Tribolium castaneum: one gene and its partner. The protein of the gene in region 1 interacts with the protein of each later gene in a pairwise test. Links are inferred from orthologs where the notes say so. Each region holds a gene or a part of one and is shown in the gene's direction. Other genes may lie near its edges. The genes, in order: Pex12 and Pex19.

The links.
Region 2: the proteins of Pex12 (region 1) and Pex19 interact in a two-hybrid assay, tested with the Homo sapiens proteins (4 studies listed by BioGRID and IntAct, with this or other methods). The link is inferred for Tribolium castaneum from reciprocal best matches to the Homo sapiens genes PEX12 and PEX19.

Annotation. Positions count from the first base shown.
Region 1 is NC_087401.1:8,581,258-8,587,543, forward strand, and holds Pex12 (peroxisome assembly protein 12), read left to right. Parts: upstream 1-2,925; 5' UTR 2,926-2,940; coding exon 2,941-3,060; intron 3,061-3,100; coding exon 3,101-3,209; intron 3,210-3,251; coding exon 3,252-3,433; intron 3,434-3,473; coding exon 3,474-3,833; intron 3,834-3,880; coding exon 3,881-4,081; 3' UTR 4,082-4,142; downstream 4,143-6,286. Other genes in the region: protein Malvolio, read left to right, coding at 135-189; prostatic acid phosphatase, read right to left, coding at 1,371-2,420, 2,462-2,560, 2,600-2,671; SF2 (serine/arginine-rich splicing factor 1A), read right to left, coding at 5,069-5,227, 5,277-5,449. UniProt on the Homo sapiens protein: Component of a retrotranslocation channel required for peroxisome organization by mediating export of the PEX5 receptor from peroxisomes to the cytosol, thereby promoting PEX5 recycling.
Region 2 is NC_087401.1:15,464,013-15,470,089, forward strand, and holds Pex19 (peroxisomal biogenesis factor 19), read left to right. Parts: upstream 1-3,130; 5' UTR 3,131-3,233; coding exon 3,234-3,300; intron 3,301-3,347; coding exon 3,348-3,985; intron 3,986-4,034; coding exon 4,035-4,142; 3' UTR 4,143-4,201; downstream 4,202-6,077. Other genes in the region: pickpocket protein 19, read left to right, coding at 259-539, 592-897, 946-1,066, 1,118-1,267, 1,315-1,504, 1,978-2,128, 2,180-2,280, 2,333-2,438 and 1 more; Pgk (phosphoglycerate kinase), read right to left, coding at 4,284-4,423, 4,473-4,573, 4,624-4,880; uncharacterized protein LOC103315247, read left to right, coding at 4,963-5,782, 5,912-6,077. UniProt on the Homo sapiens protein: Necessary for early peroxisomal biogenesis. Acts both as a cytosolic chaperone and as an import receptor for peroxisomal membrane proteins (PMPs).

The DNA of each region.
Region 1 (6,286 bases):
TTTCTAATCACTAATTTTCCTCTTATTAACAGCTTAAAGAAACGTGATAATGTACTAATCAATGACGTAAAATTCTGAGTGAGTATTGACTTGTCAGCGAATTGCTATCAAGTGATGATTTATGGTGGTTTCAGGTCGCAATCAGACTGGACCTTGGACGGTAATGCGACGGAAATTGCGAGGTTTTGACGTCAATTTTAGTAAATTTGTAGTTTTTTTCATGATATTTGTGTGATATTTGCGTTATGTAATGAAATATATTTTATTAGAATTTTTCAAGTTCGGAATTTTATTTCACCTGATTCACCAAGGATTGGGGTTTGGGTGGTATTAATACGCCGATCGGCTGTTTTAGTTTTGTATTTTCGAGTGCCACAATTTTGTTCGAAAACGACAATTAACAATAAGTATATTTGGCCTTGACAGTAGATACTGTTATCACGAAACGCAAATTAAGCTAGAAATCAGTCGTTGCTTTTAAATACAAAATAAAAGGTTGGTGGCACTTATGGAGAACTATAACTTAGGAAAGGAAACGAGATACAAATTTAAATTCAGTAATTACTTGGAAAAAATGTCCTTTATACTCTTAACAGACAGAAAATCATTTTTAATTTATACCTAAATTGTTGAAGATTGTGCCGCGGACTTTTTTATAGCAAATTTAATTCTCTAGAACTTCGTTCCTTACACTTTCTTGTACCTTCAACCGTATTTCCAGCGTTTTGATAAATATACGACGGTGCACAAAGAATAATCGCTAAGAATTATCAATTTGAGTTCCACCTTATATTTTTGCGAATGGTGCAAATACGGTTGAAGATACAAAAAAAGTGTAAGGAACAAAGTTGTAGAGCATTAAATTTTCTACAAAAACGTCCGCGACACCGTATTTCTATCTTCAACGGCTTAGGAATGAATTACCTTTCCAATACTTGACCACCGGCAAAATGAAGCAAATCCGTCACTTGAGAGTGTTTGAATGACTTTGGAGCCTAAATGGTTGAAAATAGAACTTTTTTGTAGGAAATTTAATTCTCTAAACTTTGTTTCTAACAATTTTCTTGCATCTGTAACCGTATTTGCAGCGTTTTGAAAAATATGGGGCAGAGTGCAAATTGGTAAAAGTTTGAAATTTTTTTTGAACATAGTTTAGGAGAGTTTGATTATTTTGTTTATGTGTTAACCGTTATACAAATACAACTTAGACGCCCTCTCGCGACATTAACGGAACTATCGGAACGGGAACGTTTTATTTGTACGTCGTTTCACATCCTAACCTTTAGCTCTCCGTAGTGGCACTATTACAAAGTGACACCAACTGGTAACAGCAAGTTTTTGGCCCCTGAGAATAAATACTTGACAAAAAACTAAGCGACTTCATCGATTGCCAACCTCGTATAATCATTACCACTGTTTTTCAAATGTTTAAACCATGCAATAATGACCCACAAAACTAGAGTAAAAACAAGAAAACCAATCGCAATGCTTGAATACACAAAAATGTGATTATAACGCTCAAAATTAGACAGTTGACATTCTAAATCCCACTGTTTTCGTGTAATAACGATGGGTTTTAAAAGCGCAATAAACTCGTCAAAATCACAGTTGAAATCACACCCTTTTGGCGTAATTTTCTGCACTTGACTGGAATTTTTGTAAAAAACGTTGAGATAAAAACTTGAATTTCGCCTCAATTCGAACATTATGGTGCTAGCGTAGGGGGGACAATGGTACTCGAAGGCCCCCATTGTGTTAAGTACGTTCGCTATCGTGACATCATGCGCCGAAAAAACGAGAAATTTCCGGAAATTTTCAATTTTTTTGGTAGCGTTGCGAAAATGTTCAATAATTTCGTTAAAAAGGGGGCCCGTTTTAAGCCTCGCCAAGTCCCTGTTATAACACTGGGTGGCGAAGCTTAGGTGGGCCCACGGGGCCATTTTTTCGGGATAAACCCCCGAGGTCCACTGGGGCAAAACAAACTTATTTAAACTTTCGATGTACAAGGTGTTGTATAGATACTCGAGAGTCTCGAGGGACGTTATATTGGCCCCTGAATTTTTGCTCAAATACGCGTACAAGTCCCGATTTTGTCGACTAATGTTGGCGAAAAACTCGGTTTTGAAAAGTTGGGTTAGAAGCGAGTTGTATTTGGGGCAGTTTTTTTTCATTGAGAGGAGGTTGTCCTCCAGTTCGGGGGTCGTGTGAATTGGGATGGGCTGCCAGGGGAGGGCGGGGTCCCACACTTGGTCGGCTTTGGGGGGGTACAAGCCGGCCAAGTTGGCTTCGGCGGACATGAGCGTCCTATCGACGTCCGTTGAACGGATGGAGAAGTCTTTCTCGGAATAGTGCGGCGATAGGAAGCCCCCATAGCGCTGGCGCAGCCACTGACCCAAGCGGAAATGCTGCTGTTTGCCCAACTAATCAAACGAGTGACACTGCGCAAAAGGGGGCTACTCACGTTCGTCAGCTGACCGAAGCCCACTGGCCAGAACGACGCGTTGCGGTAGGGGTCCCTCGGGTAGGGCTGAATGGGGGTGCGGTCACCATGCCTGTAAATCTGCAAAGGGGTTAAAGACTCGGCAGCCCCCCAACTCACCACAACCACCGAAATCAAATCATCACAGAGCGAGACACTAATAAGTACACAAACTAACACTAGTCTAACCATTGTACTTTGTAATCACAGCATTTTGTTTATCAACATATGGTCAAAATTTTTGACAATTGACAATCAACAAGTGCTGCCATCACACGTTCAACGCACCCGTGATTTGTGCAATTTTACACTCCCGGCCCACCTAACACAAAAAAAAACACACAAACTGATTAAAACACAATTGTCGCGTTCATAACGAATAACCACGAATAAAAGCAACAATGTGAGCAGCCCCACAGAGACATAACCTGTCGCCAGGCCCGCCAACCGTAATTCAAAAAATGGCGGAAAACGCAGCCAATTTCACCCTCACTTCGCAAAACAAACCCTCGATTTTCGAAATAATCGCGTCAAAGTCACTCAACGACACCCTCCACCCGGCACTGCAGAAAATCGCGCTGGTAAGGCTACAATTTTCAGGCGTAAACTAACAATCCGTAGTTTTTGGCCACTAATTGCCCCCAGAAATTCAACTGGTTGGGCAAATACTACGACGAAGTTTTTCTTTTATTGAATTGTGGCCTCCAGTACGGCTACCTGCGCAATTACGGTGAGTAAACCCCCCAAAAACTGTAATAATTGTATATTTCAGACGCCACGTTTTCGGAGAATTTCTACGGCTTGAAGCGTGTCCTCGACTCTGGTAATCAATTGACGAGTCACCACCGTCGCATTTCCTTGTTATTTTGCGTGTTTTTGCCGTATTTCAAACGGAAATTGGACGAAAAGGTGGCTCTGTATCGCTTGGAAAACGCCGACGGTTGTTTGCGTAATGTATGCCAACGTAACTGACCCGACTACTAAAAATCCCTAGAATTTCGAGGGCCGGTTCAAAAAACTGTTAATTTTGTCCCACTCCACGTTTGAGATAACATGGGGGCTGCTCACAGTTTACAATTATATTAAATACATGTCGCAACAAACCGAAGCTCAATTGCCGATTCTTCAATTGATTGATGTCAAGTTGGCGTATTCGGAGCCACTTCCACCTGAGCCAAGTTTCTGGTCGCTTTTATTCAAAGGGCATTTGGCGGATTTGTGGCAATTGAATATTTTGAAAAACGCGGTTACAAGTACCTTCGAGTTTGGGGCGTTTTTCTTGCAGTTTTTGCAAGCCTGGAGCGCTCACCAGAATTATAGTGTGACGGCGCTGCCAACTGTTAAACCACCAATGGTGAGTCTAGTGATAGTGTTGGTAGTAGTGCTAATTTGATTGTTTAGCTCGATGGGAAAGCCCGAAATTATCACAATAAATGTCCGATTTGTTTACAATTTTGGAAAATACCGACTGTTCTTCCTGTTTCCGGATACGTGTTTTGCTTTCCTTGCATTTTGCGGTATTTGAGGGACAACCAGAAGTGTCCGGTTACGAATCTTCCCGCCAAACCGCTGGATATCGTTAGGATATATGATAATGAATAAAAGACGTTGTAGTTGAGAATTTTTTATTGAAATAAACATGCAATTGTGAAAACAACAAAAAGCCACACTTTTTGTCAAGCAAAATGATAAAAAAATATTAATAAAAAACGAAAAAGAAGTCTCAAATACCTGGGAACAAATCCACGAGGTCCTTCCGGTACACTCATCCTAATCCTAGTAATCCTATCCTAATCCTCAAACAGTTTTAAATCCACTTCATCGCCAAAATCCTAGGAAAAGTATTAAAATCCCCCGAAAATTACTACAATTTATTTAAAAAATCCTAATCCTAGGAGTTTGTCCTTTCCTTCCGGTGAAGTGGAGATCAAAATCCCGTGTTTGTGAGACCTATCGCATTGCAAAACATCTCGTTTAAACACTGTTTTTTCAATGAGAAACGTGTCAGTTAATTTTTTGAAATGATTGTGTTTCATTGTTAGAAAAATTGAATAACTTATTTACCGAGCCATTTAATTGTGTGGTGTCCTCTCAACACTCCGAAAAATGCAATGCTTAGTGTGTTAAAAGTTTAAATATCCTCCTCCACGATCTTTGAGACTCCCTCCTAACAACATTCATCCACTCCTCTTGCATCCGGGTGTGTCAAAGATAACATTTTATTGTCTATTATTTTACTATCGACTTTATTATTTTTTCCAAAAACCAGTCCAACGCTGATTGACTCAGCAAATTGTACGGTAACAGAAAAAAGAAACAATACATATTAGTGCCTTATCCGTACTCTAACCTAATTGAAAATTTTTATAAAATTTAAGTCTAAAAAATTACAAGAATGGAGGAGAGAAAAAAACGATTCTTCCAGGAATGTCAGAAGAATTAAAATACCCACATTTACAAATACAAATTCCAGGGTTACCAACCGCTTTTTTTCTCTTGCATTTTTTTTAAATCAATCAAATTAAAAAAATCCCCGGTTTTTTTGATACGTACATTATACAAAAAGGCCAGTCCGTAGAGTAGATTAAATTAGGAGCGAGAACGGCTTCTGGAGTAACTCCTTTTGACCGGACTGTATGTTGGGGAACCCCTCCGACGGGGCGAATATGAACGACTGCGTGACCTTCCCCCTGACCGTCTATCACTCCCCCCACGATCTTCCTTCACCCTTATGTACGAAACCTCCCCCTGACGCCAAATTAAAACACAAATCCCTCAACAACCAAACAACTCTTACCTCATGTGACCTAAACCTCGAATCGTCCAATTTCTTTATAGCATATTTCATGTCTTCGTATCGGAGAAACTCCACAACGCCTGAACCGTCCTTGAACGCGTCCGCGAAGCACACGTCTCCAGCCTCCCGCATGTGGTCCTTCAAGTCCTGCCACGAGCCCGACGGTGGCAACCCTGCAAAAATTCAATTGTAAATATTTTGATGTAAGCCTATGTAAAAAGATCCGGGGAATCGATTGGTGTCGATAAAATCACCACATTCCCAATAGTTTTTAAGTTACGATTTTTTTCATCTTAAAAGACTTCGTTTTTTTTTAATTCAAATATATGCATTTATTTTGTAGTATAATCTCTATTTAGTTCAACGCACTTAGTGCAATGTGTTTCTAGTTTTTTAATCCCATCCCTGAAGTGACTTTCTGGTAGTTCTGCAAAATACTTATTTATAGTCGCTATTACCTCCTCATTCGAGTGATAATTTCTCCTAATCACATTTTTTTTTTAATTGTGGAAGTCTGGGGAAGTCAAATCAGGCGAATATAAAGAATGTTCTAATAATTCATGTTTTTAATTCGTCAATTTTTCCATTGCCAGAGCGCCTTTGCGACACCCTTTCACACACTATTTTTTCGTATCTAATTCTTGGTGCAAAATAAACTACACCCTTTTCTCAGATATCCCTATCACCTTAGCTACCTCATACACTTTCATTCGCTGATTATCCAATATCGAAATTTGCATTTTTTTGAGGTTTTTATCCGTGGTTACTGTTTTGGTCATCCTTCACAAAACTCATCATTGAGAGATGTGCGACCAAGTTTGAATTCAGCTGGCCATTTTTATAGTAGAATATGAAGAGGTTGACTTGAATAAACTTAATAAGATTACGTCTAATACTTCCGGAGTTATTGCCCGATATGCAGGCTGTTCTGTTTTTATTGTTACAAATTTGTATAATAGGTAATAGAACATTTATTTTTAATCATAAATTTCCTATAAACATGTAGGTTT
Region 2 (6,077 bases), about 6.9 Mb from region 1:
GTTGGTAGTCCATTATTTAATTGTCCAAAAGGCATTTAGAGATATTATTTAATTTATTTAATGTAAAAATGACATATACATATTTTTTTGTGATTTTCCTGTAACTTAGTTGTTTTTCGCGACGTATGTAATAAATAAATCCGATTAATTCTAACACTGCCAATTATTGATTTCCCGGCTTCCGGTGTCGCAAGGAAACCCATAAATACTTAATTTTTCCCAACTTAATTCACATCCTAATCCAGTAAACCTCCCCCAATGGAAAACAAGGGACTTTTCCATCGGTACGTCCACATTTCCACCTTTTCCCACCATTTAGAACCAAATTTTAGACTTTTATGGTCCTGCATTTACATCATTTTAATCGTGTACACAATTTACATGGTGGTCACACTTTGGGACAAGTTTTTAATCCACCCAACGGTCACAACACTAGTTAGTTCGACATTTCCCGTAAACCAAGTCCCATTCCCGGGAGTTGCAGTTTGTAGCATAAACAAAATCAGCAAAAAACGGGCACAAAACCTGGCATTTGCCTTGTTGAAAATCCAAAAAAATGAAAATGATTACCACTCAAAAAATTATTTTTAGGGCAAATCAGACCAAAAAAAGCCCAGAGGAGGTCATGGCATTTTTACATTTTACGGGCCAATTGTACGATTTTGATTTCCAACCGGACACAGTCTCCAAATTGCTACTTTTCCAAAACATTCTCGACTCTTTGAACATCAAAATTGACGATTTGGCCCGAGAAATGGTCACTCCGTGCGAGGATTTATTATCTAGTTGCTTGTGGCGCAACATGGAAGTCAACTGTTCGACGATTTTTTACCAAAGACTGACCTATGACGGCTTTTGTTGCGTCTTTAATTACGTCAAATTCACCCAAGAACTGACGTAAACCCTGATTTTTTCCCAGTCATTAATTTTAATTAAACAATTCAGGTACGAAATTGACCAAAAGCCCGTAACTACGGACGCAGGCGTCGAAAATGGGCTTTTTGTTGCGGTTAATAACAATCTACAGGACTATTTTTACACAACCATATCAGCAGTTGGAGTTATAGTTAAGTGTAATTAAGTGGATTATTGGCTTAATTAGTTGGCGCGCTTTTAGATACATATTTTTGTGCCGACCGATTATCCGGATAAATCAAGCGGCGGCTTAACCGAAATTCTCACTCATCCGAATTCGGAAAATTTCGTCGAAATCGTACCAACGACCTTGACCTCGGTGCGAGACGTCGCCGACTATTCGCTAGAAAAAGTAAGTTGGCAACGGTGATGTTGCCACTGCTGCCAACTTAATTTCAGCGCCAATGTCTTTTTGACCACGAACGCTACACCAGTTTTGGTACAACTTACTCGCAAAGCGACTGTAATATAGAATGTCGCACTATGAGTATATATGCCATGTGTCAATGTATACCGTTTCTTATACCACTCAGTAACAGCAGCAATGTGTGCACGTTGGCCGACGTTGCGTGTCTTAACAGATATAAAGGTGCTTAAGCCATTACATACAGGGTGTCTCAGCAAGACTTAATATCTCAGATATTTGTCAACGGATTTTTATGAAATTTAAAAAGCAGATATTTTAGAAGATAAAGATTAAAATCCAATTAATGCAAAAACTCAAGTCTTAAAAACGTAATTTTTACATGCCTTTTTAAAATGCTAAGCCTTTTAAGACTTATATTAAAAAAATTATCGTTAGTGAAAAATGCTGAAAGAAAAAACTCGTTCGTGGAAGACGTCTGTTTTGCGAGAAAAATGAGAAGCAAACTGTTAAACGTGGGTACGGATGCAAAAAAGAAATGTGTTTTAAAATTTAATTTTTTAGTTGAGGTCATTTTTTTGCCCCTAAAATATGTGCATTCTAAATTTCATAAAAATCCGTTGACAAATATCTGAGATATCAGGCTCGAAAGTCTTAGCTGAGACACCCTGTATACTTTTTTATGAATGGTTTTATAGAGAAGTGGACTTCGCTCTTTCCGGACGACCTTGAGCCAGGCCCGTATTTGCAAAAAGAGCGCCAAGATTCGCTACGTTGCGATAATAAATGTTACTCGTCATGTGCTGAAACGGTGTACGAGGCCCATGCCAATTCTTTCCCAATTTTGAAGTTTGGCAAAATTATTTAAAAAAAAACTTTTTTTTTATTTCTAAGTTTCAGTAAAACGGACAACAACGTTACTCGAATTTTTGTGTATTATTCGGGCAGGTTTTCAAAGTTGTACCTTCAAGACGTTGTCTATTACTGGTTCGAAGTTTTGAGTAATTGATAATTTATTATAGTGTGAAATTTTCTTCTAATTAGCAATTCCAGGCAATTTTGGCGGCATTTTTGGAATATTTGTTGGTTGGAGTTTGATATTTATTATACAATTGTCGGCCTATTACACGCGAAAAATCCTAGAGAAAGTACTTAAAACGTAACCAAATCATTTTTTGTGGAACGTTGGATGGACTTTACTTTATTTTAGAGTGATGACATTGATTTTAAACACTTAGATACGAAAAGTAGTAAGAAAGCCTTTTCAGAATACTTTGATTTTTTGCCCTGTTTTTAAAGTATATTTAAAAATTAATATTTTTTCAAAGATTTCGCCCTGTTTTTATATTGAGCACAAAAATGAATAAGGTTTCATCTGAGCCAGTGGCGGAACTAGGGGTGGGCTCATGAGGGTCCATATTTAGTTTCATTTTGTCTGCTTTTTGCTGTTGGATCTCAACCCACTCTTTTATTATTTATAAAATATATATTTAAATAATAATTTAAAATGTAAATAATAAATATAATAAATGATAATAAATAATAATAAATAATAAATAATAAATTAAATATAATTATGATATATTTGCTATTTATACTAACGGAATTAATCTTTTCGGACGTTACATAATTTAACGTAAATCCTTTTATTCTACAAACATTACCTGTATTACTCTTATAACAATAACAAATGCGTCTTAAAGAGTGTGAAGCGAAAAAATAAATTTTTATTTTCAAATTGCCCATATTTTTCTGTCAAAAACGGCAAGGTACCAACCACACAACAACAAATTATAACGAAAAACGTGGTGGTACACCCTTTTGTAGAAACCTGTAATTGATAGTTGAAGGGAATAGCGACAGGTGGCCTAAAAATCCCCAAATCACCTGACATTTCCCTAACCTCACTTTTGTAACAAATTCTTAAAGCTTCCCGTTTTATACCAATTTTACAATGAGCGAGTCAAAAAAGCCCGATTCGGCCTCAAAAGTGGACGCCGAGTTGTCCGAGCTCTTGGACAGTGAGTCCCGTGGTGTAAAATTCGTTGCGTAACTCCCTCATTTCAAGGTGCTTTGGAAGACTTCAAAAGCGAGCCGCCCAAAGACAGCAAACCTGCGCCCCCACAGGACGAAATCCCGGACGTTGAGTGGTCGGACGATTTTATCCGACAAGCCGCAGCTCAATTCGAGTCAAACTTTGCCAATTTGCTTGGCTCAAACCCTGACGGGTCCCAGTTAACCCCCGAGCAAATCCAGGCCAAGTTCCAGCAAATGGCAGAGACGGCGCAACAAGTCATCGAAAATCCGAGCGGAGACTCGGGTGATTTCGCAGCCACGATATCACAGACGCTCCAGGGGCTGAGTCAGGGGGCTGAGGGGCTCCAGAACCCCAATTTGGAGCAGGATATTATGAACTTGTTTGCGGGACAGGGGGACCAAAACGCCTTTATGCCTTTCATGCAAGGGATGATGCAGAGTTTGCTGTCCAAGGACGTGCTCTATCCGAGTCTCAAGGACATTTTAGACAAGTTCCCGGAGTGGTTGAGCAAAAATAAGGACAAGTTGAGTCAAGAAGACGCAGAAAGATACGAAAAACAACAGAAATTGATGGAGGAGATCTGTGCCGAGTTAGAGAAGGAGAAAGAGAGTGATAGTAGTGAGCAAAAGAAGGAGAGGTTTGACAAGGTCTTGAGTTTGATGCAAAAGGTGCGTTTTTTGTTTAATGTTGTTCCAAGAATGATTTTTCTCGAATTAGTTGCAAGATTACGGACAACCCCCGACCGATCTAGTGGGCGACGTGGGGCCCCCTTTGCCCCTCGAAATGCAAAACAACGCCGACCCCAATCAGTGCAATGTAATGTAATTGGTGAAAACACTGTTGTTTGTTATTTATTATTTAAATAAATTGTTTGGGAAAAAACCGCCATTTTGTTCACCCAATACCAACCACACAAACTCAAAATCACTAGTTTATTACAATAATTTACAACAAAGTTCGGGAAAATCAAGCGTCGGAGAGGGCGGCCACCCCTGGTAGGACCTTGCCCTCCAGTAGCTCCAAACTGGCGCCCCCGCCCGTCGAAACGTGCGAAACCTTATCCTCAGTCTTCCATTTTGCGGCACAAGTGGCCGTGTCACCGCCACCTAGAACACCAAATTTGACAAAAACCGCCCACAAAAGTGATTTAATTACCAATAATCGTGACACAGCCCCTTTGAGTCGCCGCCACGACTTCATCCATTATGGCTTTGGTCCCTTTTGCAAAATTTTCAAACTCGAAAACACCGGCTGGCCTAGAACCCATAGTTGGCCACGGTTGCTAAAGTCAGTCGTACCAACTTACCCGTTCCACACTATCACTTTGGCCCTCTGAATGGGGGCTTTGAACGCTTCGATCGACTTCGGCCCGATGTCCAGCCCCATCCAGCCGTCGGGGATCCCCGCCTCGAGAGTGGCAGCCCCCACTTGCGCCTTCTCGTCGAATTTGTCCGCCGTGACGAAATCGCAAGGTAAGTGAATTTGCACGTTGTTTTGCTTCGCTTTCGCGAGCAAATTATTGACGATCTTCGCCCCCTCGTCGTCGTACAACGAACCCCCAATCTGTGGACAAATCACACCGGCATTGCAAACAATTTCTCAAGCCACTGTCAAAATTGATGGTTCTGTACGAAAAATCCAAAAAATGGACGAGATTTCCAAAATTAAAAGCGGCGATGAGACGGGGCTGTCCATCGAGAAGGCGTGCGAAGACTACACGAAAAGCGTGAAATTGGCCCTGAACTTGGTCAATCAGCAGCTGGAAAATGCCTTCGTGAAAAACTGCAACGGCTTGGAGGAACTGGCTATGAAAATCGCCGCTCGGACGAGTTTCCTCGAACGAAACCCCTCATTTCTCTCCTGCCTAATGTACAACAAAAACGACGTCAAAAACTCACCCTTGCTGGAGTTTGACGAAGTCAGAATCACCCTCAAGGAACATACGAAACGAATCAACGAAAAACTGGACGAAATTGAGCGATTTCACACGAAATTATTCGACTTGGTGGTCTCAGGGGGCCGTGACCCGAAACTCGTCAACGAGTTCAAAAAACTCAAGACTTTGAAAGAACCCGAGGACGAGTTCCAGGACTGTCTTGAGAAAATTGAATCGAAAGGATCGCTTCAGAAGGTCACAATACAGGCAAATGCCCTCTCGGACTCACCGTCACCCTCGGGGGAACCCCCGCTAAAATTCCCGATCTTTACCGACATACAACCCGAAGTCCAACGCGGGAAACCCCAACAAGACCTCCACGGGAAATTAATGCAACAATTGGTCGCGTCCGACAGTCTTGAGGGCTTCATCAAGCTAATGAAGCGCAAACCGGACGAAAAACGCCGCACTAAAGCGAAGAAAAGCCAAGAATTGGAGGAAAAATACACGGGGAGTTTGTGGTTTTTCCCCCAGAAACCGAGCAAAACGCAGTCGGCCAAGTCGACGAAAAGACACGACAGTTTGGCCGGTAAATTACCCATTCAAATCTAGGAATATTTAGTATTTTTTAACTTTGTTGTCTGTCTGAACGAATCGAAATCTTGCATACTTACGTAAACTGCGTGACAATGCAATATTTTTTGTTTTTTTTTTATAGGATCAACTTGTTGCAGTTTATTAGTGACGAGTTCGCAGCCAAGTCCCGTCACTAACCAGGACCGGACTGGAAAAATTCGCCAAAATTTAGTGCGTCCAAAATTGAAATGTTACGACCTTTTGGACGATATTGACAAAAATGATGTGCAACCCATCAAAAGTGAATA